4 linked regions of the Drosophila melanogaster genome follow. The protein of the gene in region 2 interacts with the protein of the main gene of each other region in a pairwise test. Each region holds a gene or a part of one and is shown on either strand. Other genes may lie near its edges. The genes, in order: tx, CG9040, CG8507 and Tsp86D.

Region 1 (8,677 bases), on a different chromosome or scaffold from region 2:
GGTTTAGCCGGGCCCACTTAAATGGACAATTTAGTGCAGATTGTCCAAAATTGGCACTAGACGATTCTGGCCACCTTGCCCGATTCAATCCGGCTCGCATTGGCTTGGATTGCCAGCATGTTGGCTCGTTGTTGGCCTGCTTGACACTTGTTGCATAGCTTTGACCATTCCCAGAGCTCGCTCTTGGCTTGGCCTAAACGAGTTATGAGGTGTTTCTCCTTAAGTGAGCACTTTTCTTCGATTACCGTTAATGTTTGTTTGTCTGGCAGCAATAAAAAAAAAAAAAAAAAAAACCAGAGAGAATGCATGCCAAGAGATTCAGCACAGCTCATCTTGAAATCCCAGCAAATCTCCATTCAAATCACCTTTCCCTGCCTCAACTTTCAACACGTGGCTAGGTTCTTCACTTCGTGCCGGCATTTTCTTTTGGCGTTTCGCCCCTGTTTCGAGGTATAATTAATTTTTACCACGCAATCCTAAGAAATGCTTAAAGACCCAGCAGAAAGAAGTTTTTAAGTTGGAAAAGATCCGCATGGATTGCATGCCCTTTCAAAAAGTTTTAAATGCTTTTAGAATATGCTTAGTATCTATCCTCTACTCTACATATCTATATACATATAAATTTCGTTAATACATTATTTTTAAAGCATGGTACGAAACGAATGTCATTCTTTAAAAGACCCGCCCCCAAGTCAGTGGAACCCACTTGAGTTGTAAGGGCATCGTGAAAAGTTTGCGACATGCAACAAACAAGCTGCAATTAAGCGCGCAACACAGAAAAATTTGTGCACCGTCTTCAAAGAGGGGCGGCAAACGTTGTTCACCTGCTCACTCCCCTCGCTCCCCTCCGCCCAATTTTCCCATTTTCCCGCCCTCCGGTCCAAAACGACGTGAAAATTACCTAGTTCCGTGTGCTTAAAGTGGGCCTTTTCGCTGGGTGGGTGGAAAAGCGTGGAAAGTGCAACGACTGTCCGCAATCAACAAATTGCATGCGATTAAAAGTATTCGCGGCTAATAAACGTTTGTTGAACAAACAGCAACAAGCGGCCTCCTGATTTTCGGAGTCGCAACCGGAGGGATACAGGATATGCTGCAAGGAAGTGGAGCAGGAAGTTAGCGGGGCGCAGTTTATAGTGCATAGGGCCTGTTTCGTTCTCTGTTGATTGGAAAATTTGTTGCGCGCTTTTCGTGGACAAAGTGAGCGGTGGGGGGGGGGGAAGGAGGGCGGGGTGGTGCCTCTGCTTAAGTTTTCAATTACACGCCGGCACAATGCAGAAAGCGCCCAATTGAAATGCACAGACAACAAACATAGAACAGTTCCTCTTACACAAAAGCCCAACATTTCATTTTGACACTGAGAAAAATCGGAGGAATGTGAAAGAAATACGTTCAATCAAATACAATAAAGCTGTTATGTTTGATTACTGCTTATAACATTTCAGCTTATCAAACTAAGTTGTGTTTTTGTTATATGATATATTTATAAGATCTCATATTCAAATAAAATGTTGAGCTTTTTGACAACAAAAAATTCTTAAAGTTTTTTTCCTTACAATTATTTGCAGTTGAAGAATTTTGTTTCAGTGCACCCCTTTTCCTGATCCCATTCTCTTTTACCAACAGTTTGGTAGACAAAAGGCGAGCCGTGCGTGCGACGAGGCGTGAAGGGGTCGAGGGGCGGGGCAGGGGCGTGTGGGTGGGTCGGCCCGTTCCACAGATATATAAAATACTTTTTTTTTTTTGGGGAAAATCAGATGGAATGGGAATGGGGACGGGGAAGTTAGCCAGGCCTAGCCGAAGTGCACTTGAAACTACCGGCGAGTGGCTCCTCCTCCCTCTGCAGTCTGCCCTTCACTTTTGGTTCGGTTGCAGTCGCTGCATTTTTAGGTGTAGCCATTAAATTTAGAACTTTTTCTGCACGCTTGTCTGCGCGCCCATGGGTTTTCCGGGGGGAAAATCGGGGCAGGAGGAATTGTTGAATTCAAGGATTTCGGCAGTCGGGTGCGGTTAAATGGAAAATGAAGCGTCTGCTGCTTGGGCACGGAAAAAAAAGCAACTGAACCACATGAGGCATTGCTATAACGAGGGTAGATGACTTAGTTTGAACAATGTTTTCTCTTGACAAGATAAAGTTAGCATGGTAAACGGATCTAAACTTTGATTTATAAATATTAGTAATCCTTCAATTGAAAAAGTAACTAAAGTAGTAAAATCATCATCAAGAACTAAACTTTCAACTTTAATTATTGCTTTTGAATGAAATCCAAAGTTGCTTTGTCTTTCGTAACTTCAAGAGCTGCCCTCTGGACCGATTCGCTATGGAATCTCCGACTGATTCAGATTGTCTCTGTGCCTGCCGTGTTTTTGATTCGTTTTGTTGTTGTTGTCTTTTCCACAGCTCTAAAATTAGTTTTCATTGTATGCAACTTGAATTTTCTTCCTTCACTATTTTCGTTTTCTTATTTTCGTAGCGCTCTATCTATTTTTTATCTGCCTCGATTTGTGATTCTTAATTTGCTTTTTGTGGAAAGCGTCAAAATCTTTCATTCGGCTTCGACTTTGTTGCCGATACTATATACATAGTCACCTATAGTCTATAACCTTTGTTGTTGCTCGCCTAGCTAGTTGCGCGTGTGTGTGTGTGTGTGGTTGCTGTTGTCTCGTGCTGTTGGCTGTTGCCAGTTGCACGTTGCACGTCCCCCTGATGCTAGTCTCGTGTGTGCTACCGTTGGCAGCTATTATTTTTAGCCGGCCTGCGGCAAGTTCTTATTTGTTATTTTACCCATCTCTTTTTTTGCCGTCTTTTGATTTTTTTACGCTTCTTTCCTTTTATTTCGTTTTGTTTTTTCTTCTGTTGATTTGTTGCCATTGCTTTGGCCAAATGATTTTGTTTGATTTTCCATTTACGTTGAGTTTGTTTATTAAAATTGGCACACACTGCGTATGTGTGATGTGGCCGTGTTTACATTCACCGTCTCCCTTCCACCACCGTGTGGATAAATACGAATACGTATGAGTTATATTTTGATAGCTTTCTGTGTGGTTTTGTATTACCCATCGGCTTTTGATTTGCTTGATTTTTTGACAGGTCTCTGGCATTTGCCTACGACTAACTTTTATTTTTCTTGATTTATTCCTGCTATTGTTATTGTTTAAGTCTCTTTGCAAGGAGGGGCGCTGGCTTTTCCCACATACGATCGAGATTTGGGTCAGGGGGACAGCAAACAATGAGGTAGGCAAGTATATATAGGGTAGCAATAGACTCATGTGTCCATAAACTAATTTAATTTTAGATGCACCTTTCCATGGCAGAAAAATCATTAAAATTTGACTCGATTAATGCGTGTATTTTTGGCGAATTTTTTTTTTGTAAATCATAAAATATTTATGACGAATAACATTTTTTAATCATGTATTGAGTCAGCCCATGAGATGCTAGTTTATTTTAGCTTTCGACAAAATGAATAATATATTAATATATTAAATAAATAAATGCCAAATTAAAATCGGCGATTGACTGGCTGCCAGAAACCAATTTTACTCGATTATTTGGGCAAACATAGTGCTTGTTGCCGAATGGTATGGCGAAAATGAAAGTAAATAAATAAATGCCGGCGTTGATTAGCACATCACAGATTTAAAGTGAGTGGCAGGTTAAGCGGGACTCTCATTGATGATGAGAATTCACAGCTTTTGTTTGCACATTAATTAAACTGTTCCCCCTACTTTGGTCGCAAACAAACGCAGCCAAGTTGCTGCTTCCCTTCGGTAACCTTTGAAAATCAGTTGACAACTGGCTGTCGTCGCCGTTTTCCCTGCTGAGCAGCTCGAAAACATTTTCCCCTGCACACATCTGGCTTTTCAACACCTTGGACAAATAAATGTTTCAGAAGTTTCTTAAAAGCCCGCCCTGCCCCATCTGCCAGCCACTAACGTGATTGGACAGAGGAATGCCTTTTGTCTATTTTTATTGGGGCGGCAACAAGAGATCGGGCAGATCTTCTATATCTTTTCTATATCTGAACGCTTATGTCTGATAAATGGCGGCGGTATATTTACCTTTTTGATTTCATAAATCCAACAATGTATGGCTGCGGGATTGGTCTTTCAGGATGATTTGAATTCAGTTGTGCACTCTGATTAAGATTTGTTGATGTTTTTATTTTAATTTTTGGTTCATTAAAGTTGCGCCAAAGTATGCAAATTGAAATTCCGACAACGCGCTGTCTAATTAGTCACCCAACTAATTTTGATATGCGATCTTTGTTTGAATTTTGTTTTGTTTGGACTTTTTTTTATTCTTTTCGGATTTAAAGTTATTAGCTCATGCATAAATTTGGCATGTTAACACAACAAAAAAGGTTTGTTTTCAGTTTTTATTTCCTCAAAAACTTCTGGAACTTGTTTTGGTTTGAATTAATATTGCGGTGGTTGTGGTTGTTGCGGTTGTGATTGCGCCGCTGGTTTAACTATTGATAATAACTTCGGTACGGTTTTCGCGCATTCTTGAGTTGTGTTTATCTTGGGCCTGCTGGAAAAGCCTCGAAGAATGGATTTTCCGTGAAAACGTGCAAGCCGCGTGTGTCAGTGCGGCGGTACTAATGTGTGCGGCGGTGTGCGTGAGGCCGGTTGCTAAAAATATCTATGAGTGCGCGTCGCTCGCGTTCTGTGTATCTGTATCTCGGAATCTGTATCTGTATCCAATATCCCGAGATGGCATACGAAAATACACGGAGAAAATGCTGCGCTGCGTCCGCCTGCTGCGCTTGTCGGCTGTGCACTGAATAGATATATCTCGCGGATCGCTGGGATGGTCTGACTTGGTTTGGCTTGGGATGCGGTGGCAGCTAAATCAGCTGACTACTGCCCCCAGTTGGCTTTGACTCCGTTAGCCAGGTTAGCGGCTCAGGTGGGCGGCGATGGCAGTGGAAGTCGGACTTTTGGCTCACTTGTCCGCTGCGCTGAGCGTGCGGCGCGCTATTGGAACGATCAATGAATGAAATGCCGCATTAAAAGGCAGCACAGTCTCGTTTTCTCAGCGACGACCAATAAACCGAGAAACCCACTGGCGCTCGCCAACGCCAACACAAAACAGCCCAGCGCACAACACAACACAACACAGCACAGCTCAGCACAAAGTCATTGAAGAGAAACCAGTTCTCTCTTTCCCCAAATATCCACATCCACCCGATGTGTGGGTGCTTTTTGCGTTGGCCGGATCGGATGGGATCGTATCGTATCGGATCGTATCGTATCGTACTGTATCGCATAGTACGGTCCCAGTTGGTCTTTGGCGCACTCTCTTGAGTGATTTCCGATTCGGATGGATTTTCGGTTTCGTTTCGAGTGTTTTGAGTGCTACCACGAGTACGCGTAGACGGCCCCCTGAGATTTCGTATGATCTAATATCGCCAGGCAGTTATTTATTTAAATTTATTGCTAATTTTATTTGCTGCTGCAGCAGCGCTTGACATTCATTTGTACAAGTCAGACATTGCTTGAGCTCACTTGAAAATAGTTAAAAATGTTTATTCGCCTTTGATTGAGATGGTATCAGCTACCAAAGCTTGACTTGTGTCGGATCTCCATTTTTAAGGTTGAACTTTGGTTGCCAGACCATAAATGATACTCATTCTTGGTATTTATTTGGATCAACTTGGATTTCGTGGCGAATTATGAGGCACGTCGAAGTAAAGTTCAAGGAAATCTCCTCATTTGTTTGTCATTTAAGTGTTTTAAGAATGGATGGTGGAATTTTGTTGTTTTAACTTTAATTCATGACAAGTATTTAAAGTATTTCCTGTAAGATAATATAAATATATATAATAACAATTCTTCGAAACGTGGTGTTCAGTAATTTTCAGCAATTTAAATTGTAATTAAAATATTTTTGATGGGTATCTGATAGCCGACGCTTTTGACTCCTGTCCATATATTTGGATTTTATAATTTATTCTAATTCGTTTCGATCAGTTTCAGTTCAGATGTATTGGGTGTGTGCACTTCTCAAGTTGTTTTCACATAGCGTCTAATTTCAAAGTGCTAAGCTGATTTCAAAGTCACAATTCAGTTGTTGGAACCCGATTTTTTTTTATTTTTCAACAAAGAATATTGTTTAGAGTCATGTTTGTATAGTTTGTTTTTGCTTGCATTTTGTTGCTTCGCAAATAATTATAATTAACTGAAACAGGCAAATAATTGCAAAATGGATTTGCTCCTGCAGGCAAAACAAGTTGTTTTCTCATTATTGTAGCTATGACGACATACCCGGCTTAAATCTCGAGTTTGCCCCGATATACTCATATACGAGCATTTGTGAATAAATGACTTCGGGCAATAGACCGATCGACTCTGTGACTGACTGGCGATTAATTTATCTTTGTGCTTCTGTCTTCTGTCTGAAGGCGAGTTCGTCATCGTTTGTCGTGTTTTGTTCTTGAGTAAATAAATCATGATGACAACAGTTAAATTTGATTATGATTCTTTTTTTTTTCATGCCCAGAAAGCATACATTTTTCATGGCACAAGGTCGTCACACATTTTAGGAGAGTGGAAAAGTAACGCATGCAACATTAATTTGATTTGCGTGCGAAGGGAGCTGAAAATCAAATTATATATGTACGAATATTTTTGATTAACTGAGCGTATTTAAAAATACATACAAAGTGGCCAAAATGTTGTGTTTCTTTGCTGACAGCTTAATCTGCCGAACGACGACGACTCCCAAAGACAAGAACATGAATAAGCGAGCCATAATTAAAAAAACAAACGTCACTTTTGAATGTTTGTTTTGTGACCAAGTCCAAAAATATATGGGCATGGCCAAAAGGGGCTGAAAACGTGGTAATAAAATATATACATTTTAAAAAATAATCAGTTTTAAATAATTTCTCGCACTTTTACACTAATAATTGCCATAATGCATGCTTGTAAAGACTGAATTTATATAAGTTTAACTAATTGCTACTTAAGTACTAGAATTTTATGGCGTTAATTGTCATTACTTTTAATCTAATTTGAGCGTGAATAATGCCCCTGCTCCACCTGCCATGTCGCTCAATTGCTTATGCAAATGTTCTGAGTTTCAGCTTTGGCTTTGGCTTTTAATTGCCAGCTTCGGAAATCGCATTTGCCTTAATATGGTCAGAAAGCCAGGCGCGATGCCCAGTATAAGTTCGATCAAAGGGGGGCCCCAAACGCTATAAGCCATCAGCTATTAGCCCCTTCCCTCTTGGCCCACTTGGATGGCCGGCGATCCCGCTAAGGAAGTCTGTGAGACGTGTCTGCGACCATTTATGGCCATCGCACGGGAAAGCAGTGAGAAAGCAGAGACTTTTGTATACAAACTCTCTCGACTCGGCTAATTGTGAGCATCGTGGGGCTTCGGGCCAAGCTTCTGAGCTGGCTGTTTTGTGTGTACTGTTGCTACCTTGTCGGCTGTTAACTTTGTCTGCAGCCTCGAAAAAGCGTTGGTGTCGCTGAGTGGGCGGCGACTGGGTCTTGAGTCAACGTTGATTTTGTTTTATATTTTACGTAAATTTATTATTACAAATATCGTTATTGCCGCTTTCAAGCGGAAATACACTCGACTTGGCCAGCCCACGCTCCCTCACGGTCATAACCACCTGCACAGGTTATCTTTTCGTTCTGCCTGTATTTCTTGTTGGCTTTTGGGAAGTGGAAGCTGGCTATTTCGAGTGGAATTGGACGAGCGGAAATGCCAGGCGATTAAGTTGTTGTTCCTCAGCTCGGTTACGTTACCTTTTTCTATTCGTCTCATTTTTAGTGATAATTAATTTTCGTGAGCTCTGTGATACTGCTGATTTGCATAAGTGAGGGTCGCGTGGGTGCGGGGCATATGAATCAGTTGGTAGACTTATGAATGGCATAGTAAAGTTACTTTGTTAACTTTCACGGATTGACAATAGGCAATTATTGCAATGCGATTAACATAAAAATAAATGAAATTAACTCTTTAAGTGCTTTTTATTTGTCAATGCTGCAGGTATTTCGATTTAATTGGTTGAGCAACGTATGAATGGAATTTTATTGCATTACCATTAACTTGTGCATGCTCAAAATGTAATATTTATTTGCTGAAATCTTTAATGATGCGTTTAAGTAATTCTATTACAAATTAAAGTGAACATAAAATGATAATGTGAAAATATATTTGTTTGTTATTTAATTGAGTACATTGTCTTTTGTCTATTGTATGGGAAAAATATAAGAGTTCAGCTGCAGATCTGTGATATGCTAATCCAACGTTGATTTAAATACCCATTGACATAAACATGGATCACTTTCGGTACAATAGTGTAGCCTGTTCATATCAATCAACGCTTATTAGCCATGAAAAGCGTTCGCAACCACGACTAACATCCGAGCATCGAAAACTAATCGTGTATGAAGAATAATGGATATGCTCGGCCATTGACAAAGCTTAACAAATCACACAAGAAGGCGAAAAGTGAAACTGCCAGAAAAGCCACACTGCCACATGAACCCGTCGAAATGGCAGCCCCCAAAAGATCGTGGCTAATCGTGAGCGATGGCTAAAGTAGTGCTGCTGCTTCGAGCAACGTGATTTGGTATTTTCGCCTGGCCACCGTCATTCGAGCATTTAAGTCATTTAACATTATGTATCACTCGTCGCTGCCAATTGTAGTCCCCTTCA
Region 2 (6,705 bases):
ACAGTTTAAGGACTTATTGAGCTTTGCAAATGTGTTATATATGTAGAGCAGCCTTATTTGAATATTCCTCTTAATTGGTATTTAAAATCAATTGGTGTTGGAAAAAAATGTGTGCACATGTTTGCTAATAAAGTGTGAAACTATAATATTTTACAATTGTAACAAGTACAAGTTATAAATTGAATTTACAATGCACTTTTTTCAGAAATGTGCCGAGTAATTTACTAACAGATTATCAAATGTGGTAAAATATTTCGTACGTTTATCAGAATTCAGAGTGTTTACTCAACCGTAAATCATAAAATTTAATTGTCTTCATACAAATATCAAATGCAATTCTCTTAGAATCAAATATTATAGGCTGGCACATTAACAACGCAAATTACCAAATTTGTCAGAAATAAATTGAATGTTCATATTAGGTGCAAATATGCATATATGAAATGTTACTATCAGCTTGCCGTTGGCATGCAAATTGGATCAAAATTGAATATTTAATTGCACACCGAATATCAATTGCATTAAAATCACAATTCTATCTGTTTGCACATCCATGCTGTTTTCCTACTATTTTTTTTGGAAAAACTTATAATGGGCTACCAGCGTGTGTTTTCGTATTTGGTAATTCCCGCATCATGGCCAAGATAAAATGGATGGGACCGTGAATCATGCAGTTGCAGCTGCTGCGGCAGATGCGGTGCCAGGTGGTCAGGATGTGCCAAAAATAAAAGTTAAACAAACAACCATGAAAGGACCCGAATGGCGACTGGATGTTGTGCAATTTATGGCTCTCATGATCTCGGCGGTTTTTGGACTTGGGACTCCGGAACCGAGCAAAGGTCAATGCAAACTAACGAAACGCAGCGACGGCCAAGTGCATTATCAACAAAAATTCCATTTATTTCGGTTCGCAAGTGCAGCAGCCACAAATATTCATTTACGAAATGGGATTAAACAAAGCGGCGCACAGATAAGTTTTCACAGCAAGTACTTGTATTTAAGGACTTAATTAAGTAACTGGTGTGTATATACATTTAAACAAAAATAAAAGCTGCAGAATTGGAATTATATGTACAACGAAAATACATGCAAGTTATTTTATAGTTATAGAATTTGGGATTTCTTTAAACATATTTATCAATAGCTTTAAAATAGATTTTAAAATAAAATGTAGTGATTTTTGAACCCGAACCCACCTGACTTATTATTAAGCAAGGCCTCCAATTCGTCGACGTCGTCCGGATAACTGCCATAGTCGTCATCATCAGGCACATTGGCGGCATCACGCTTCCGCGTGCGTTTCTCGGTATGCTCATGCTGTTGCTGCTGCGGTACGCCATCCAGATCCATCGTGCTGGAGATGTTCAGCAGGATCGGAATGGCGGCCGAGTCGGAGGACGTGGCCAGGACAGAGGCGGACACGGAGGCGTGGAGCAGGAGAAGGCAACCGTAGAGGAGCACGGCCTGGCCCAGTTGCATGGCCATCAAGTGGCAGCCGTGTGGATGCAGCTGCTGCTGTTTTTGATGTTGTTGCGCCATCAGCTGCAGTCGCCGCAGTAGACAAGGCAACGTTAACTTCGCCATTTTGTCATTTTCGCACCGCCAGCCGCTTCTCAACACATTCGCAATTGTTTGCGAACTTTCGCCATTTGGCCAAGAAGTTTCCGTTTGCGTCGTTAGCAGTTTCAGTTTATGTTATAGTTTGCAGCTCGAGTTTCGGTTTTTGGTTTGCGTTTCCGCTGCCTCAGTGGTTTATAGCTCGCTTTGGACAAATTGGCCAAACCCCGGTGCACATTACGTATACGTCATGCTGCACATTACGTATACGTCGCCGGCCGCTGTTGTTGCTTTTGGTGCTGGTGGTGATGGTAGTGGTGCTTCTGCTGCTGCTGCTGCTGCTGCTCCTGATGATGATGTTTAGCCTTGTCCCGCCTGCCGTTGTCAAGTGGCCAACTAGCTAGCTGCCTGCCCTGCATGATAATTTTATATAATTTGCCCCCGCTGCCACAAATCGGCTCGAGTGGCGCTTGTTTTTGTTGGTTTTACTTCTACCGTTGCCGTTGCGGTCAGCAGCGTCATCATCTTCGAGTGACCCACTAATGTGTGTTGCATGTGCAGCACCGCTGCACGTCTGCCGCCGCCTTCTAGTCGGGTATTAATTCCATGCAAACTGCAGATTTATGGCACGAACTTTGCGAATCTGGGTTGGTCCTCTTTCGGTCTGCCGCGGCTCGTTATCCCGAGCTGAAATTGCACGGAAAAAGGTCAAACATATAAATTTGTGCTTTCACTAAAATAACCATAAATAATATGAGTAGTGCGTGCCATCACATTAAATAATCACGTAGATTACGCGTTTGAAAACGTTTTCTGAAAGTGAACGCAATTTTAACTGCGTGTAGATAAAGTGGATCTATAAACGTTCGTTTTATATTGTAGACGACAAACAATATATTATTTTATTCCACAACATAAAACGTTATATATCTACTTGATTTATAAAAGTATTTACAGGTAACCACCAGGGGCTAATATTATTATCTAAAATTTCTAAAACAAATTGATAATCAAAAAAACATCTACACAGCTGGCCCAAAGTAAACGAATGTGTGTTTGTTTAATCATATTTACTTTTGATTCATGAAAAACGAGATTCGACTGATATGTTGGTATATAAACCAGAGGATTGAGCTTTCTTCGTTTAGATCACAAAATCTCCCCAAAACGAAAATGAAACTTCTTCTGGTTCTGGCATTGGCAGTCTTCGTAGCCCACGTGGCTGTGGCCCAGACAACTGATTCGTCTGACGATGGAGATTACTCTTACGATTACGCTGATGACAACGATACTGCCGGTAGCTCCGAAGACAACACTGCTGATTCTGGAGACACTAGTGATAGCTCCACTGACGTCGACAGTGGAAACGACTCTGGGGACGTCGATTCCTATGACGACTACGAGGGCTCTAGCGATGTTACGGAAGCACCAACTGCTGCTCCAGTTGTCAAAAAGAACAAAAGAGCTGGTGCCAGGAAAAACAACAGGAACAACAAGAATAAGGCAGCAGCTAAACGTCGCAATGCCGCCGCTGCCAAGAAAAGTAATAACAAGAAGGCGGCTAAGAAGCGAACACCTGTTGCCGCCAAGAAGCGGGCAAATGCTGGACCCAACAAACGTAGGCGCTCTGGATAAATCCAGTTTATTATATTCGTAGCTACAAATTATAAAAATAAAAAATTATACCAAAAAAATTTGTTCCCAAAATTACCAAGATTTTTTTCTATGACGTTTATAAGTTAGGTTTTGAATTAATATATAATAATGATAATGATATTTACCAAGAATGTGGTTGTTGGGTATGGGTGTTTATTATTATGAATTTTGTACAAAACTTGAATATCACAGAAATTTTGAAATATATTTAACTATTTCACCCAATGTTCAAAAGACAAGAAAACATTCTACATAAGTTTTTATCGGCACGTGTTTTTTCCCTCATTTGTAAATAAATATATTTTTGATAAACAAAAACATACACCGCATATACTTGAAAAATTATATAATTTTAAAGACGTTTAATGTCATATCTATTTTTTCTATAAAACTACTAGCAGGTCGCCTAACGCGTAAACCATAGACAAATTGTTCAAAAATCCAGATAAGACATTTGTGACCTTGGCTCTTTTAATATAAAAGAGTTTATATTACTTTTTCGTGCTCTAACACAAAATATAATTTCATAATTTCAACATATAGCAATCGAAAAATGTTAAACAAATACAAGCAGCACACACAGGTGCTCTAAGCCACCGAAAATTAAGACGATGAATTAAAAAACCAATATTTGCATTCTACAGATGTACATAGAAAAATAATGTAAAAAAGCTTTATATATTTATAAATTTCTTCAGAGGAGAAAAAACTATAAATACCCAGTGTTGAAGACTTTTAAACTCAGACGTTTATACCTAAGGTTACCTATCTGTTCGTTGACTCTATAGATACAAAAAAAAAAAGATGAGGCTGCTGTTGGTTTTAAGCCTGGCCATATTGGTTGCCTTCGTAACGGGTGCTGATGACACTGACGATGACTATTACGATTATTACGACTATGGTGATGACTACTATGACGACTCTGATGTAGAGTCCAGTTCGGAAAGTGGTGTTGGTGCATCCAGTAGCTCAGAAGATGATGCTAGTACCTCCGAGGACAGTTCCTCCGGCGAAGCTTCCGATACAGGTAGTTCTTCAGAAACTTCTGGAGATGGTTCCTCCGCCGAAACGACCTCCAGTTCAACTCCAACCAAGGCAGAAAAAGCCAAGAAAACTGCTGCACGCAGAGCTAGACGGCGCAGGCGCACCACCACCGCTGCTCCCAAACGCAAAGTAGCGGCAGCCGCGTCTGCCAAGAAGCAAACACCTGTTGCCCAAAAGAAGAAGACACCTGTGGCAGCCAAGAAGAAGGCGAATACTGCCGCCAACAAACGCAAACGCACAGGCTAAGCAGTTCGAAAAAAGGATAAATTCCCCATAGTCACTGAAAGTTTTTACATCAAACTTTTAAGAGGACCAAGAGACATCTTGTAGAATCTACATTAGTCTGGGAATATTTCATATGTTGTTTTCTGTACAAAAAATCCATATAAAAATACAAAGATAAGGAGACGTTTTGTAATTTACCAAAAATATACATTATTAATCCAAAATATACAACAATTTTGTATTTGAGGGCTTAAATGATCTTTCTTCGGAGAGAAACTAATCATTACAAATCGTTTCTGAATACTTAAAATCGAAAGCCAACTAAAAATCAAGTATTCCTTAAAAGGAAAAAAATTTTTTGAACGAAACATTCATTTAATAAACTGTTGTGGTTTATATACAAGTCTCTGCAGCCAGATTAGTATAAATCGTTCTAGTGGCGTAGTATTACCAAAGTCAGCTGCATTTTGCTGCATATTTTTAGGCGCCCACATTTACATTTACCAGCGCTTTGGCGCATTGTGTTTCTATTTAGACGTAAGCCAATAGCATCTATAAATAGTAATTATGCCCTCATACAAGTAGACATAAATGCACAGGGACACTTAATTACTGATGCGCACAGGCGACAATTGTTTAATGGCGAAAGGATAACGAAAAGGGAGGAGCCTGAGTAGCGCCATCGGCCACCACAATGGGACCATTGTTTTCGATTTCAATGCCGACATTCTGGCAGTGGCACTGCCAACAGAAATCCCGTGTATCCAGTGCACTGCGGCCCAGATGAAAGCCACTCCGCATCCAAGTGTTTGTGTTTGCCCGAGAGAGATCCAATCTTCCAGTGTGCTGGTGGCGGCAAAGCACACATCCATAGACACAACCACACTCACACACCGATGTTTCCTCTTGTGGCACCCGCTGGGCCGCTTAGTGAGCCAAGTGTGGCAACAATCTGAATCATCGTTTTAGTTTCCACCCTACATCCCCACCACCAGATCACCAGGGTATGAACCGATTTGTGAATTCGCCGGGAATCTTAGGTTGGGATGACCAGTCAATAACAATATCAAGCAGGAAATGGTTGCAAATTATCGAAAATTCTATGTATCTACTAGATTTGGTGTTATCTACGCAAATGTCTAAAAGTTGCATTAAATTGTGGATAACTTTGATTTGATTTATACATTCTTATATATAATTTTATTTTGTTAAAATCCTTTTTTTATTATAATAATAAAACAGCTTTGATCCTGAATGTTATAAGTATCCTATTTCAGGATCCGCCAAACTAGCTAAGCTTTTACAGGGTATTACACCACACTAACACCATTGGCAATTGTAGGCGATGGGCTGACGTGGAATCAGAGGGGAGGTGGGAGCGGAGGATAAGGCTGCTGTAATATCTGTGGCTGATGCCTTAAGAGGAAAATGCGATAATGTGCGCTAAACAATGAACAATGCAGAAATGGCATAAAAATAGCCAGAAGTGGGATATGAAGTGGGACACAGCGGCGGGAATTATAATGGAATATGTGTTTGCCTCCGAGGATGATAACGGCCAGGATGATGGCGGTCGGTGGTGTTGCTTTGGTTAGCACTCACAATGATGTGATGATGATGGCAAGTGCCCGATATATGCAGATTGTAGGTGTGGCTGCTGACGTTGATGGGCACCTTTGAGGAACAGATCGTCACATTTTAGATACTGCTTTTGACATTTACATGTTTTGCAATGCAAATCAGATGGGGCACAGACTGGGGCTAAATGAATTGGAAATTTAAAAATGACGACCATTTATTTACATAGGTCTCGCAAACAATCTTTTCAATTATGAGACAATCTTGTCCATGTTTGTGAAATATGGATAAATATTTAGAGCATTTCCTTCACATACATATTTTTATCGTTCTTTACTAGCTAAATAGTTCTATACTAACCAATCTATACATGAGTGTAGTTATATCTCTTCTAAGTTGATATCTTTTGCAATATTTAGCACATAAATCAAACTTTTGAAAATTTTTCACATTGCTCACTTTTTGATAAAAATCTTAAACGCCCAACAAAGACATAAACTTCCTCCTTGTGGATGTATAATTTGAAAAACAATTTGCATTTTCTCGAGGGCAATTTATTTTCCATTCCTTCGGTGCGGCAAAAAGTGGCTGAGGGCAGGGAAACTAAAAGTTTGCTCACTCCAAAGAAATTTTCTCTAACAAGGC
Region 3 (7,701 bases), on a different chromosome or scaffold from region 2:
AGATATCGAAACGAAATCGAACGAAGCTATACACTAATATCTCTAATGAAAGCCAAAGTACCTACTTAAAGACATAGAATCTGTATCTACTACGATATGATAACAAAATATTTACATGGATCCATCAACGTAAGACTTCTCCGTGATCGCCACATAGAGAGCATCGCGAGGCAACCGGAAACGGAAGTGGCCGCAATTGGCCGAAAATGGCCGATGCCTCCCCCTGACTATCATTGCTGTTTAACTATTTACCACCTAACCAGAATAATACCGATTCGGACGATTCGCCCCGATCGCCATATAAGCTAATGTATAAAATACTCAAGGCCAACAACACCGACAGCCCACAGTCCGTAAAACAGATGAAAGAAGAAATTCGCAATGGCATTGTGTTTTTTGTATTATATTAAATATGTATGTACAATTTTACACTTATTTGCTGAACTTTATTGAGCAGCTTGAACTTTCTCAGTAGTAGCCAGATCGATCAGTCAGAGAGTTAGCCTAAGTCAGAATCACGTTTAAGTACAATTGCATTCGCATTCATCGTGTGAGCCAAGTAACGCGTACATCGAAGGATATTTGAAGAGCATATGGTGCACTTTTTGCAGTAGCGTAGATGGGATATAAGTTGCCTGTTTTTAAAACACCTACCTATCTATCTATATGTATGTATGGATGGATGTATCGTACGTACGTATAACATAACACAGACCGTTCCCAATTGTGGTATTCGTTATTTAAATAGTTAGTTGGCTTGTGCGTAGAGTCGTAGGCGTAGGAGTTGAACAAATTGTTTCGCATAGTTTGCTGTTGTTTGATATTAAGAGGATAAGTTTTTTTAAATTTTACCAATCGGACTAAGTGAATGATATGCTTTAAACGCTGCTATACCAATTAGCCAAATAGAGGGGCATGTAATTACATTAATTATGATGTTGCTCATCAAACTGGTAACTTTGGCTGCTGGTCCGCCGTCCAGCAGTGCCGGACAAATAAAAGTAGAACAGCCGCCAACACAAATCAGATGGGGGGACATTACCCACTAGATCTTAACAAAAACAAAATAAATTGTTGAATTCGAGTAGAGAAATTATTAATCAAGATTATGATAGCGGACCAATTTGCGTATAAGATTTGTGAAATCAATTTAGATAAATTATCTTGGTTTGCCATAGACCTGGACGATTACGACGATATGCCAGCCTTAGTTGAGAATTCTAGTTAGCCTGCCTGTGCTTTGGGTTCTGCTTGGTGTTTTACTAGGTTTAGGTACGTTTAATTGTGAACAGCAAACTGGGTTTTGACTATTCAGTATGTGCCGTATATTGGATAACATTCTCTGCATACAGTACACTTCACTAATGCGTAAAGTTACTTAGTTGCATACGAATTATAATAACAATGAATTGTAATCAAAACATAATACATTTTAGGTGCATGATTTAAAATACAACGAATAAATATATTTACACCGAAATTCTTTTCTAATTTTTTCTTACAAGTATATACACACACTATATAGATCTATATACATAGATATATAAATATATTAGTTGTATACATATTAAATTAGATTTTACAAGATTCGAAAACCGAATATTTAATTATCGCTTACATTCAATTAATACGCAACTCACAAATGAGCGCCCACTGCTAATAATATTATTATTAATAATCGCCTGAGCGCCAAGTTGTAAATATAAATGATCAACAAGTTACATATAAAAATTATATCCGATTTTTTGAAGGGCCGGCATCATAATAATAACAAGCAAAATATAAACAGTTTCGTGGCCTACTTAAAAGATCTTATTGTTGAAGATTTATCTTAATAACACTTATCGCGCAAATGAGATTAAGTACATGCAAAATAATTTAAATAAAAATTTAACTATGACAAATCAAAAAATGAAAAAATTGAATTATTTGCCGACCATAAATGGTCTCTAATAAACTGGGTAAAAATCTCGGACATTACACTTAAATTACAAATTGTTTGTTTGCGGCCGCTACACATTATCAATGTTATTATCCTCGTGATCGTCGACCAGCGTGAATCCTTCATCTTCAGCTACACAGCTTTTGCTCTTGCTTTTGCTGCTGGAATCGCTTTCATCTAAATTTTCTTTTTTCGATGGTGTGGTGGGAGCTTCCTGCTTTTCCTCTAGCTCTTGGACGCCCGAAACGTCTGGAATTCGCTGTAGCGACTCCTTTGGAACATTTCTCACGTTAATTACATTTAGCAGCATCTTTAAGTTGTCGCCCGATATGGAGTCGCCTTCGGGCGCCCGTGCATTAATGGACTGGTGAATCGTTGGTGTCCCTTGTGGCGCTGGCTTGTGTAAAAGTGACGCCCATGCTCGGGGGCTTAAAATGTATTTAAAGCACAGCTTTATGGTGTAACCCACTAAAAACACCAAAAGGACTGGTGCAAGGAGGTTATACGGGAAGGATAATCCGGCTATGGGTAAATATGGTAATTAAGTGGTAAGTGGTAATTATTGACTGTGCGAATTCTTGGTTAAATACTTACAGGACAGTTTAGTCATAGTTACCGACACCTTTTCTATCATGATTTCCAACTGCTTGATAAATATGTTATTCATGTACATAAAGAACACTTGATCTGGCATGCAAATGGAAATGCTGATTTTTGCGGATTTTCTGAATGGAAACGATCATCAATCGACTTATTTAATTATATGTTATGGTCTTACTTGATCATTTCTATCTTCTTAGTTTTTGGTGAGGCTTGGTATATGTAGCCTAACAGTCGACCAAACCAGGACGATTCAGGCTCATGGTGATGATTTACGACCTCTATCATCCTATCGATGTCTAATTCCTAATTATAAACATATAATGAGCACAATTTCACACACTTTCAGGCTAGACCTACTCTGTTGCATTCTAAATAAGTCTGAATATATCCGCACAGAAACACGCCTCCTAGTACAATTGAAATTAGTCCGACACGGAAACGTTTGTGCACAATGACGACAAGTGCAATTGCTAATGTTGCATATAGGATAAATTTCACCTAGGAATGAGAAAACCCATTAAATAGCAAATAGTCAAGTTTCCATAAAAAGGCGCAACAGGTACCTCGGTCGTTTGCGTCAGTTCAATTACATCCTTGAAAATATCCACCAATAAGGAGAAAAAGCCGTGTCGGACGTATGAGCATCCGGATCTTCCATTAAACAAAGGAGCCTCCTCGGCACTCTCCAATATCTTAGTCAGCAAAACGTCCAAATCCCGAGCATCCTGCACCCTCTCCAGTTCATCCAGTTGCGATGGGATCAGGGAGAAGAGCAGCGATCGCTTATGGACCGCCGACATAACATCGTACTAATTACACAAAAGTTACACACATATGACGTCATGTCGCCAACTTTGGTCTAAACAGCGATCATACCTGAAAACGCTTGCGCTGGAACAGCAGATTGACGAACTTCTTGAAGTATGTGAGTGCCACGGCATCCTCCATGGCCACTGGAGACACATCTGGACACGTAGGACACTGGCACAATTCACCGGGCTGATTGATATCGTTAACCAGGTCCGACCAGGCGGGATCCGGACTCAGCCAGGACTCATCGTTGCCGCTCTGACAGCATACCCTGTGCAATACCAACAGGAAACAACTGACCGCTGCCTCCGTTCTCATTGTCCTGGTTTCTCAATGTAATCACTCCTAGGTAGTAAGCACTCGATAATAATTATAATTCAGCGCAATTTCGTGGTAAGGCGGCTGATGCAAATTGGCAGTGTGACCAAGTCCAGTTAGCAACATCACAGCGTCACGTCAGTGCTGCAATATCTACTTATCACTTCAGGAAAATGTAGCTTTATATTTATTAGACAAACATGCTTTTATGATTTTTCTTCACTTCTACTGCAAATTGAATTATTTTTATTAAACATCTTTATCAAATAAATCAAACAAATTGTTGTAAATTGACCAAGATCAAAAATCGTAACTGCGAAAAACAAAGCATTAAAATAAAATAAAAGCTAGACTGTCAGCACCAAAGCTTTATGCGATCGCTAGATGGCCACACTGCGTGTTGTGAATAACTGTTTAGCCAGGTCAGCACTGCACCAATAATTGCAAGCTTTAAAACCGAAATAAAAACCACGAGGAAAATGGTTAGGTCAGCTCTCGTTGTTGCAGCCATCGCACTTTCCGTACTTATTGCACTGCAGGGCGTGGATGCCGACAAAAAGCAGAGCAAGAAGTACAGCAAGGAGGCCAACGACCCGCATTTTCAGCAAGTAAAGCAGGAGAAGTATGATCCGGATTTTAAGAGCATCCAGCGGCCATTTCGCATGGCCAAGTTGAATCTCGTGTGGGCCAAGGCGCAGAATGTAAGTGGACACCATAAGATATCTCATATTTAACCGTACTAACCTCGGTTACAGCGCTTAACAGAGCCCAAGCTCAAGTCACTGTACATGGAACTCAAGATCCACGATAAGGAGGAGATCGCTTGGAAGCAGCTCAACTCGCAGCACAAGGACAAAGACGGGCTGAAGGCCGACGAACTGCGCCGCAAGCTCATTGGCATCATGAGCAGCTACGATCTGCTAGAGCATTTTGACGACACTCAGGATACGGAGAAGCTTAAGCCCTACAAGGTACGTATCTAAATCATCTTTCCTAAGAGCAAGAGTTTCTCTACATCCAAGTTAACTTTAAGAAATTCCACGACGCCGAGGAGCGACACAGAAACAAGAGTCTTTTCAAGGACAAGAAACTCAACCGACTTTGGGAGAAGGCCGAGATTTCCGGATTTACTGCAGAGGAATTGAAATCCTTGAAACAGGAGTTTGACCATCACCAGGATAAAGTGGATGTGTACTACAGCTTGCTGGAAAACATTGGCACCGTAGACACCGACAAGCATGAAAGTGAGTTTGGCTAAAAACAGCACGAAAAGCATCAATTAATTTCATTGATTATTCTCGTTAGATGCTATTAACACGGAAGACTTGGACACCTACAATCTGATTTCGAATGATGTCAATGAGAACGACATCAAAACCCATGCGCAAAACGTGAAGAGTTTCGAGAACGACCTTAACACTCTGCGAGGACATCACACGGGCATCAAGGATCACTACGATAGGCTGGAACGCCTGGTGTCCTCCGGTCCACACAGTCAGGACTTCATTGAACCCAAGGTCCAGGGTCTATGGCGAGTGGCCCAGGCTAGCAATTTTACGGTTAAAGAACTGGAGTCCATTAAAACCGAATTGCATCACTTCGAAAGTCGCCTATTAAAGCTGCGTCACTTGCATGCCGAGCATGCTTTGCAAAAGGAGAAATACAAGGTATATGTTTCTTAATATCAATCAAGTTTGTAAGCCAACTAACAATTATTTATAGGGCGAAAAAGTGAAGGACAAAAGCAGCCGCTTTGAGGAAATGGAGGATCAGCTGAAGAAGCAAACTCGCAAAGTGGAGAAGCTCCAGGAGAACATTGAAAAAACCATCTTCAAGCACACCGAGCTTTAATAATTTGAAAGTGAAACACTGAAAGTGCCAAGCGAATAAATTAGATTTAATTGCAACTGTTTGTGTAACGCACAAAAATATTCATTCTTGCTGCTATTCAGCATAGATATAATTTTGATACCAAATATCATTTGAACATAAATAAAATCTCAAGTTTAATTTTGAACTATATACAATCTATTTTGACCTTTAAAAAATTCAATGTGGAAAAAATAAATTTGTAATATATTCAAAGTACAATATAGGGTTAAGAATAAACCGTTAAAAAAAACGATAAAATTAGTGTGACCATATGATAGCAGGCACAAAACGCGTATTTCCCTCCACCCAGTAGGACCGCACCTAGTATGACCGCATGCCAGTCGCATTATTGTTGTTGTCGTTTCGTTTGGTGGGCCAAAAAACAAGAAAATATTAGCTAAGCGAAAAGTTTAAAAAGTTAATATATATATGTGCAGCGGTCGGTGCCAGCGCTTTATGGGTACATAGTGCATATGTACACACACCGACATGGGCATGGTGGAGGCGTCGACGTCGGAACTGCACCTGGAGGCCCCAAATTCGTACACGTACCTCCTGGCGACCGTCAGCCTGACGCTCACTTTCATCGTTATGCTGGGCGCTTGTCTCTGCTGCAAGAAGCGGATCCCTAAGTAAGTCCTCCCCAATACCCAGAGGATCAGAGGATCCACATCGTTTCGATGGCTCTAGCGGGAACAGGGCGGTGCAGGCCAGAGAGAGAGTGAAAGTGGGTCTCTTTCTCCAACACTACGCCGCCCAGTTCCAGTTGGATGCACTCATGTCGCTCGCCAATCTCTCTATACCCTCTAACTCCACAGAAATGACTTGATGGGCCTGGAGGGCATGGTCAAGCTGAAGAATCCGGATGAGGTCATTGTGGTGACCAATCTGGTGGGCAACAGCGAGTCCCAGGCGGAGCTGAATGCCTCCACGGTGTCCAATGCGGACTCGGAAAAGCGGTAAGTCCCCATTTCTTTGCTGTCTACATAACTGAGCTGGAAATAACGCATCCTTAACCAATTTCCAGGTCGAGCACTGCAGCCCATCGCAGTTTGCCTGACATTCCCGTGGCCGAGAGCAATGATAATGGGTCCGAACTATATGAAACTGTGGCGGACAAGCAAATGGTAGATGGTCGCAATGCCCGTAGCCAAAGTCGTAAGTTGTATTTTAAACCCATAAAATAAGCTCATACTTAATACCGATTTTAATAACACCCACAGCACAGCCAAGCATGAAGAAACAGACCAGCGTGTCGCAGCACAGCTCTATTAGCCAGGCGGATGATGTAAGTTCGCCGTACTCTCGGGTCAAGGGTCTGCCGCACGACTACGCCAAGGTGCGGGGCACCGAACATCCCTATGCCCAGCTGAATGCCCCATCCACGTCTCATGCGGCCAACCACGGCTCTACAGCAGCAGCTGCGGCGGCGGCGGTGGTGGCCGGATCCTCCAGCGAAGGTATAGATCCAATGCACCGCAGTTCACAGCACAGCGAAGGCTCCAGAGAGCACAATGATTCAGCGCCGGCGCAGGCTGAGATTCCAGCTGCCTCTGCGATTGCAGGCATGATTTCGGCTAGCCAAGATCTTCCCTACATGACGCCGCCCATCGCCAATCCACATTTTAGCGGGGACTCACAAGACTCGTCGAGTAAGTCTGTAAAAATGGAGATAATGTCAAATCGCTAAATGTTTTATTCCACAGAGGGATACACAAGCATTAGTGTGAGGGAGCCGCTGGCCAACATTTTGGCCCAACAGCCACCTGGGAAGCCCTCGAACAGGAACCCTACATTATCGCGTGATGTTAATGACTCTCACTACGCCACTGTGTCCGATGATTCTGGTGAGTCACAAGAGAAACACCACTTCTCTCCAGGGCAATTTCAATGTTATACGTATCTTGAGTTTAATAATATACAAAATTTAATACATATATTTAGTAATACATTTAGTTAGTAATTTAATTCTTTTATTTAAGATGAAACGTATGCGGCCATTGAGGATCCCAATAACCGTCATCATGCCAACGCCGCGGATATATACACTAGCGGATCGGAGACGTACGCGCAAATCCAGCCTATGCAGGCCAATCCCATAGTGGTGGCTGTCGAGATCAATAACAGCAGCAGTCTTCCGACCGCCAGTACATCCG
Region 4 (7,793 bases), on a different chromosome or scaffold from region 2:
CAGCTGTTCCGTTCTCACCTGGTCGGCACTAACAACTACGTTCAAATTAATAGTGACAACTGCAAAAACACAACACATGCAAGCACCGTTTTATTGTAAAAAACACACGTTTATTTAGCGCGCTCACTTTAAAATTAGTACTGTGTTGAATGTGTGGGGTTACAGAGTATTCGGTATTTGGGTTTGTATAAATTAACGAACAAATTTCGAACCAAAACATTAGCTATTTACACAAACAGAGGGGCGATTGACTTGACTACGAGCTAAAATTGGCCACATTTGCGGAAAGTTAGAAAGTACACGTAGAAAAATTTCTTAACAGCAACGACACTCTGAGGCTTGCCTCCTCCGTTTGGCGGTTGATCCTCGGCATCACTGCTGGGCAATGGGCGCCGCGGTGGGCGTGGCCACGGGCGGGGACGAGGTGGCGGGATCCGCGTTCACGAACTCAATGGAGGCGGAATTGATGCAGTAGCGCTTGCGGGTCGGCTTCGGACCATCCTCGAAGACGTGACCCATGTGGGCGTTGCAGCGGGCGCAGCGGACCTCAGTGCGTATACGTTCTGGATGTGCGATTAGTAGTAAAATATTGCCCCCTATTTAGTTTGTATTTTGCCATTTCGTGGGATTAATTGGATACGTTTTGATTGTTGTTTTTTTTTTTTGTTGTGTAGCGCATTTTGTTGACATTTTTTACAATATATTCATTTTTTTGATCGTTTTGCAAGGTTAATTCAAAGTTTTTCGGTGTAAACAAATCAAACAGAAATAGAAAATTGATTGTGAAATGGGTGATAAATGTGAAGCAGAGAAAGAATCACAGAAAAGAGCGAAGAAATAACGGCAAATAAATGGGAGTGCAAATCAGAGAGCGAAGGAGGAGATGCAGCAGAGAGAGAGAGAGAGAGAGCGATAATTAACAATGGGTGGCAGGTGAAACAATATGAAATGAAGTCACATAAACCGGTGAAAATAATTGACGAATCAGGAATATAGATGATTTTCCGAACGATTTGGCGTACATGTTATTTTGGTTAATTAAGCATTTCATGTGTCGTTTTTTCGGGTGTTATAATTTCAGCGATGAGTTAAATGTTTTCGTGTTTTTGGTTAGCAAAACAAACCCCCAAAAAACGTTTACAGGCGTTGTACATTTAGTTTTTTTTTTGTTTTTGAAGCGAGTTAAAAAAAGAGAAATAGAAAATATACGAAAATACACATTATTTGGATTGTTTAAAACACTCTATATAGTTTATGGATATAATGTTGGTTAAAGTATTCGGGTTATGTTATTGAAATCAAAAGAAAATTGAGCGTGAGTAAAAAGCAACAAACTAAAACGTAAATCGAAATCATACAAATAACCAAATACAGCACCGGAAAATAATATTTTAAAATAAAAGCACCACATTCACACAGACATACACATAATGGCCCTGGCCCAAAAATAAATCCAATCGACCTTGTATAATGATCGAAATATGGTATGTGGAAAAAGCTCAATGATCTATGTAGATTCAAAACCGAAATATGTATGAAAATTGCACTTAACCGAAAAGAAAAACATATAAACTAACTAAAGGAACCCTCGTCTTATCCCAAAATAAATGATAACCTTGCGCAAAACTTAACTTCTTGCTAAGCACGTAAGTTCCTACAAAATGGGTTAATTTTTATTAACGTACAATATACATATCCTATAGATACGATGAGAATGCAAGGGGAGATACTTTTGAGAAGTAGAGTTCATCTACACAGTGAGTGAGATTGTAAACCGAAAAGAGTGCATAAACCCAGGCCAGGAACTGTAGACTCGCATTTCCGTTCATAAAACTTTCGTAAACTTTATAAAGTTATAATATAGAGATAGAGATTTGAAACCGAAACATACATAGGGTAAAAGTAGGAAAAGTATATAGCAAATGGAATCTGCTGGGCTGAACTACAATACTAAACTCTCACTCCTCGTTCCGCAATACATTTTCAAACATCGTTCTTGTGTATAAGCTATGTTTTTTTTTGTTCGTTAAACAGTTTTGCATAATAAACGCCTATAAAATAGCTAAATATCTTTCTTTGCTGGACCTGCAGCCCTCTATAGACCCGGAGTAGCATCTACCGCTGGTCTATATGGGGCTACTCCTCCGGGTGTAATGGTATTCCTTGTGGTTAGCAGGCAGATCGGTCATTATTTCTTGGACGAGGCCGTCGATGGATCCGCCTTCGATGGCGTCGCACTCTTCACGAAATCGATGGACGCGGAATTGATGCAGAAGCGTCGATGCTTGGGCGGCGGTCCATCATCGAAGACGTGGCCCATATGGGCGGAGCATCGGGAGCAGCGCACCTCGGTGCGCACCATGCCTAGCGTTTTCGAAATGACTACTGTTGGTTTAATCGGTTTACAAGTGATACTCGTGGGTGATATTCGGGTGGAATCGATATGGCATTAGTTGTATTTCATGTGGTTTTTTTTTAGAAAGAAAGAAATGTTGAGAAAGTCAGGCGGGATAGAAGAGTGGGATAAGAGAACACAATACTCGGTTAGGAATCAATTTTAGTCGCTTCTTCTCGCTTTGTTGCACATTCAGGTGCTGCAACGGCAGCAGGAACACTCACTAGTCACAAATCACCGGCACAAGACTAAACACAGTAACACAACAATGGCAAGGCCAACGGCACAACTACAGTGAACTCTGGGCAGTGGAACAGTTTTGGGGTCGGGTTCAAGATCAGATTTTAAACACGAAACAAAGCAACAAACAAGGCAACACAAACAGCACAGACTTTAAATGAATAATATTAGCTAATGGGTTTATAAGGTTTAATTAAGCCATTAACTAATAAGCCTCTTCTTATAAACATCTCACTTTATGATTTTATTTCTTTACAATGACTTATGCACACCATTTTCTTTAGAAATGGAAAACAATCAAGCTGAAGGTCATACCAAAATATGAAATATACATATGTATATGTTTATATGCTTATATAACTCTACAATTAATCGTTATCAAGGCTTCTTTATAAACTTGGTAATCTTATGATTGCTCTTATTCACACATGACAACTAGGCGAATAATTACTCTAGTCTGGGTTATATTGTCTCCTAGGTGGATAAACGCAAATGAAATTCTCAACTCTTGGGTGCGGCAACGGAACAGCAACTCAAATAAAAACATAACTCAAAACGCTTTGCAATAATCAACAGCTAAAAGTGCCGAGCAAGGTCTTGGCCAAAAGTGGGCCGCCTGGCCAATACGCACCTGGTATGCTGGCATCGCGGTGCAGCGTGACCTTGCCCTTGTCTAGGACATCGTTGAAGGCCGGCCATCCGCATCCCGAGTCGTACTTGGTCTCCGAGCTGAACAGATCCTGGTGGCACACGATGCACTGGTACACGCCCTTCTCGTAGTGTTTGTTGTAGCAACCTGTGGACATTGCATTCCATCATTTGGGAATCAGAATTGAATGCACTTTGTTCGAGGGGTGGCGTTCCATCTTGATAATGGCTTATGGCTGCATGTTTTGTTAGGAGAGACTCACCTGTGAAGGGTCGCTCGGTGCCCGCCTCCTGGGTAACCTGATACTGCACCGGGGTCAGGCGCTTGCGCAGCTCCTCCTTGTTCACCGTAACCTTCTCGCTCTTGTTATCCATAGTCGCTGCTGGTCCGGAATACCTTTTGTCCGGATTGTCGCTGTCTTGGCGTGAATCTGGAATGCAATACAATACTTTGGTATTTGATTTGCGGTCGGGTCGGTTTGAGTGTGCTTTTCGGTTCGCCAGCAGTTGGGTAATGGAAACTGAGTAGGGGATTTCGTCAAGCTTCTGTAAGATTTCCCTCATAATCTGCCCACTTATCGGTGGGACTTTCAACGAAACCTTGGGCAATCTCAACTCGCTTATTTGAATGCGGCCATCTGACGATAAGAAGCTTACTACTATCAGCCATGAGTTGCTGAAAATACTTTCTCGAAACTCATAATCATCTTGTTTTCTCATACAAACGATACCATACCATTTATGAAAATGAATTATATGAAGAAAATTTTTGGCATTTTTGGAACCCAATTTGATAAGGAAATATATACATAAATATTCTTATTCCAATATTAAACAAAAGCTATATATAGCGTACAAAATATAGAAAATACTTATCATTTTCTTAAACAATTTGTTAACAATCTTGAAAACTCAAAATCAAAGTTGTGCATCCAGGGAATTAGTAACACCAATTTTGTATACAAACTTGCCTGCTAATTAATGAAGGTGTAAACAGATTTGTTAAGTGCGGCCAACAAATGGAGTGGAGAAACGCATTGGGCCAAAAATAGTTTTATGGCTTTTTATGCTGCTTGCCCGCCGTCAATCAAACGGAGTGGCGCCCAAAGCAAACGAAGGCGAAGGAAAAGCCGAAAAAAAAACCGAAAATCGAATAGCGTAGGTGGAGCAGTCACCTTTTATTTTCGGTTTTTCCGAGTGCAACAATAGAAAAGCCAGCCAAGTGTGTCGCGGGCAATTGAAGACAATGAATTCATTGCGAGCAAAGTCAGAAAATAGCGGCTAAATTGCGTTCATATAGAATGCAAATGTATAAAAAAATCAACTCAAATTGTGTCTAAAATTAGCCGATGGCCAATCGATGAGCATGGGCTGACACGCCCACAGGTATTACAAACTATACCTGCGACTTTTTAGTGCAACTCACCTGCGAAAAAGCGTGGAATGGCGAATATTCGAGTGCGCCGCAGTGCGTGGCGAGCAGAAAGTGCAAACATTATGTGGCTAATTTCAGGTGACAACTGCACTTGGCACTGCCTGGTTATTTAATCAGCACAGCAACAGGGGGAAAATGAGCAGAGCAAGGAGGAAAAGTCAATGTTTTGTCCACTGCGCACTGCCCACGCGTACTAACTAATATTTATGCAATTCGCGTTGCCACTTCCGTCTACCACATTTCCCACATTTTCCGTTCTATTTTCGTGCGCTTTTCTGCTTTTGAACGCTTGGCGAGGAGAAAGCGCAGTGCAGAGAAAGTCGCAACTCAATTAGGGAAAATGCGCTCGCAATTGTGCTTCAATGTCACCAGCGGAGAACCGAAAAGAAAAAACACTTAATTTTCCCACACTTAAATGGTGCGTCCTTGGGTTTTCTCTAAGCTGGAAAACTACTCACCTGCTGAATAGCGCTCTAAATGGTGCTGATTCTATTTTTGGCCTTTTGTTTATGAATGCGCCAAACGCGGGCGAAAACAAGCGTGCGTCGCAATGTTACGCAGCGGTGGAAAATTAAAAACTAATACAAAAAAAGCTGCTTGGGAAAACAGCTGCACGCGATGAAAATCAAACACCTGGCTGGCTCGCGTTGCCAATCGAATGCTGGATGATAGGCAACAAAGGCAGTACGGTCACGCGAACAGCTGACTGGCCGCGCTGCCAACTGCTGCCTAATTGGACAGCACGTCTGGCAACGCCGGGCACTTTGTTATTTTTAGTGGCTCCATAAATTTGCTTATCAGTCATAAAATTTAAGCTAGTGCGTTAATTCATCATATTCGCTGCGGGGAAACACCAGAGTTAGACAGTCCACCACTGACGCACTGCGAAACTATAGCAAAACAGCCGTGCAGGCCGCTGAAGAGACCACACGCAAAGAGGGCGTCAACAAAAAGAAAAAACCGTGGGGGAGGAAACCTGGGCAAAAATACCAGGAAAAGTAATACTCATCGAAATACTCGGCTGAAAACACGACTTGCACATTCGCGTGGCCATGAGCAATCACAGATACCATCAGGGGGGCAACTACATGCACCCGCGGATCTCCACCTATCCGCACCACTTCAGCTACGTTTCCTCTTGCGTCAAGTACATGATCTTCCTGCTAAACTTCCTCTTCTGGCTCTTCGGCGGCCTGCTCCTGGCCATCGGCGTGTACGCCTTCATGGACAAACTGATGGACGGCAATGGCTGGCTGCGCTTGGACACCATCTACGATGTGATCTTCAACATCTCCCTGGTGATGATCATCGCCGGAGTCATCGTCTTCACGGTCAGCTTCGCCGGCTGTTTGGGTGCGCTGCGCGAGAACACCTGGCTGCTAAAGCTGTACTCCATGTGCCTGCTTCTCTTCTTCATACTGGAGATGTCGCTGGCCATCATCTGCTTCGTTTTCCCGCAGTACATGAACTCGTTCCTCGAGTACCAGTTCACGGACAAAATCATCCACTCGTACCGTGACGACTCCGACTTGCAAAACTTCATCGACTTTGCCCAGCAGGAGTTTAACTGCTGCGGCCTGAGCAACGCCGGCTACCAGGATTGGAGTGAGTATTTGATTCATAAGCCACAAACGAATTAATTCCATGTCCGTATGCATACAGGCAAGAACGAGTACTTCAACTGCTCATCGCCGTCGGTGGAGAGATGTGGAGTGCCCTACAGCTGCTGTATTAATGCCACCGATATCAGCTCCGGCCTAGTGAACATCATGTGTGGCTATGGCGTGCAGGTGCGTTCAGTGGCCGCCGCCAGCAAGCGCATCTGGACCAGCGGCTGCATCGAGATCGTGCGAGTATGGGTCGAGAGGAATCTGTATGTGATTGCCGGCGTTGCCCTGGGCATAGCCTTGCTGCAGTTGTTCGTCATCTATTTGGCCAAGACCCTGGAGGGACAGATCGACCTGCAGAAGTCGCGCTGGTCGTGAGTGCAATGCCACCATCCGTATCTCTACGGATATCCGCCATGCGAAGACGACCCGTATTACAATTCGCGGATGTGAGGCGGACTTTTTTGGTCCTGCCCGTGCTCAAATAATTTCAAACCGAATCCCACTCCTAGAATAATCCATAGCTCCCTATATACCATCTCTTGTGTTTTCGATAGATTTAAGTTCTAATGTCCCGCGATAATAGTATTTCAATAGTATTCTCATACTCTCCTAGGCTTAGGAAAAAGTATTTATACTCCTTTGTGTTCGTTTGCTCTGTATGTTTTTTAAACGTCAGCGCATTCTTAGTCACAAGTAAAGTCGAACACATCTAAAGTTTTACTCTTATACGTATGCAATATCAGACTATTTAAAAGACACTTGTGTATAAGCTAGCGAGTTCCATAAGAAATATGCATTTAAAATGAGATTTATATGTAACGACGAAACCAAAACTGCATGCATGTTTGTTAAATTGAAAAACATACTAGATACATAGACTTATTATCATTTTTAAGTATCTGTACGCGTGTTTGTCTGCAAACGTTGTTGTAGTGCGTATTTAAATACAGGCATTCTATACGTGTAATCGTGACTTTTTCATATGGTGAAAACAGCACAAAGTACCTGTCTTATCGCTCCACTTGGTTATTCCAATCTTGTTCTTACGATTGACCTTTAATCTACAACTTTCGGGGCCTTAGGGGATGTCCGGCAGTGAGTTTAGTTTGGGTCATCAGATAACTCTATCAATCTATAACAATGTTGCGAAATTCTTGAAATATACATACGTATTAAGTAACCGCAATCTCGAACAATTCCAAGTTGTTGAACTTCGAGATTTAGTGGGGCAGTGCAGATAAGCAAATCCAAGCAATTATGAGGAGTAAGCGCGAGAGGGACAGTAATCCGACCCCCAATGAAGATACTCTTATGTACATATACACTGGGAGTTTATTATTTTAAGCAATCGCATGCGATTGCCAACTTGTATAAAAAGTGAAAAGCAAAGAATTGTTATCTCATGCTTAGTACTTAATAATGGATCGGATACTCTCGCCCTTGTGCATCAGATCGAATGCCTCGT

Evidence for each region.
Region 1: the proteins of CG9040 (region 2) and tx interact in a two-hybrid assay, tested with the Drosophila melanogaster proteins (one large-scale study listed by BioGRID).
Region 3: the proteins of CG9040 (region 2) and CG8507 interact in a two-hybrid assay, tested with the Drosophila melanogaster proteins (one large-scale study listed by BioGRID).
Region 4: the proteins of CG9040 (region 2) and Tsp86D interact in a two-hybrid assay, tested with the Drosophila melanogaster proteins (one large-scale study listed by BioGRID).

Annotation. Positions count from the first base shown.
Region 1 is NT_033777.3:26,437,119-26,445,795, reverse strand, and holds the start of tx (taxi), read right to left. Parts: upstream 5,019-8,677; 5' UTR 4,060-5,018; intron 1-4,059. UniProt on the Drosophila melanogaster protein: Probably plays an important role in the differentiation of epidermal cells into the tendon cells that form the attachment sites for all muscles.
Region 2 is NT_037436.4:13,983,925-13,990,629, forward strand, and holds CG9040 (uncharacterized protein), read left to right. Parts: upstream 1-3,953; 5' UTR 3,954-4,017; coding exon 4,018-4,503; 3' UTR 4,504-4,702; downstream 4,703-6,705. Other genes in the region: CG17364 (uncharacterized protein), read right to left, coding at 1,197-1,584; CG17362 (uncharacterized protein), read left to right, coding at 2,731-3,192.
Region 3 is NT_033777.3:9,787,418-9,795,118, forward strand, and holds CG8507 (uncharacterized protein), read left to right. Parts: upstream 1-4,065; 5' UTR 4,066-4,152; coding exon 4,153-4,374; intron 4,375-4,428; coding exon 4,429-4,644; intron 4,645-4,706; coding exon 4,707-4,917; intron 4,918-4,978; coding exon 4,979-5,340; intron 5,341-5,395; coding exon 5,396-5,524; 3' UTR 5,525-5,681; downstream 5,682-7,701. Other genes in the region: CG12945 (uncharacterized protein), read right to left, coding at 2,013-2,464, 2,537-2,667, 2,721-2,848, 2,903-3,043, 3,109-3,354, 3,422-3,673; CG8516 (uncharacterized protein), read left to right, coding at 6,035-6,177, 6,364-6,504, 6,573-6,703, 6,769-7,197, 7,252-7,392, 7,528-7,701.
Region 4 is NT_033777.3:10,863,263-10,871,055, forward strand, and holds Tsp86D (tetraspanin 86D), read left to right. Parts: upstream 1-5,445; 5' UTR 5,446-5,770; coding exon 5,771-6,323; intron 6,324-6,380; coding exon 6,381-6,703; coding exon of another isoform or gene 6,704-6,778; 3' UTR 6,779-7,293; downstream 7,294-7,793. Other genes in the region: SelR (selenoprotein R), read right to left, coding at 373-596, 3,267-3,431, 3,547-3,714, 4,710-4,779; Fdh (formaldehyde dehydrogenase), read right to left, coding at 7,735-7,793.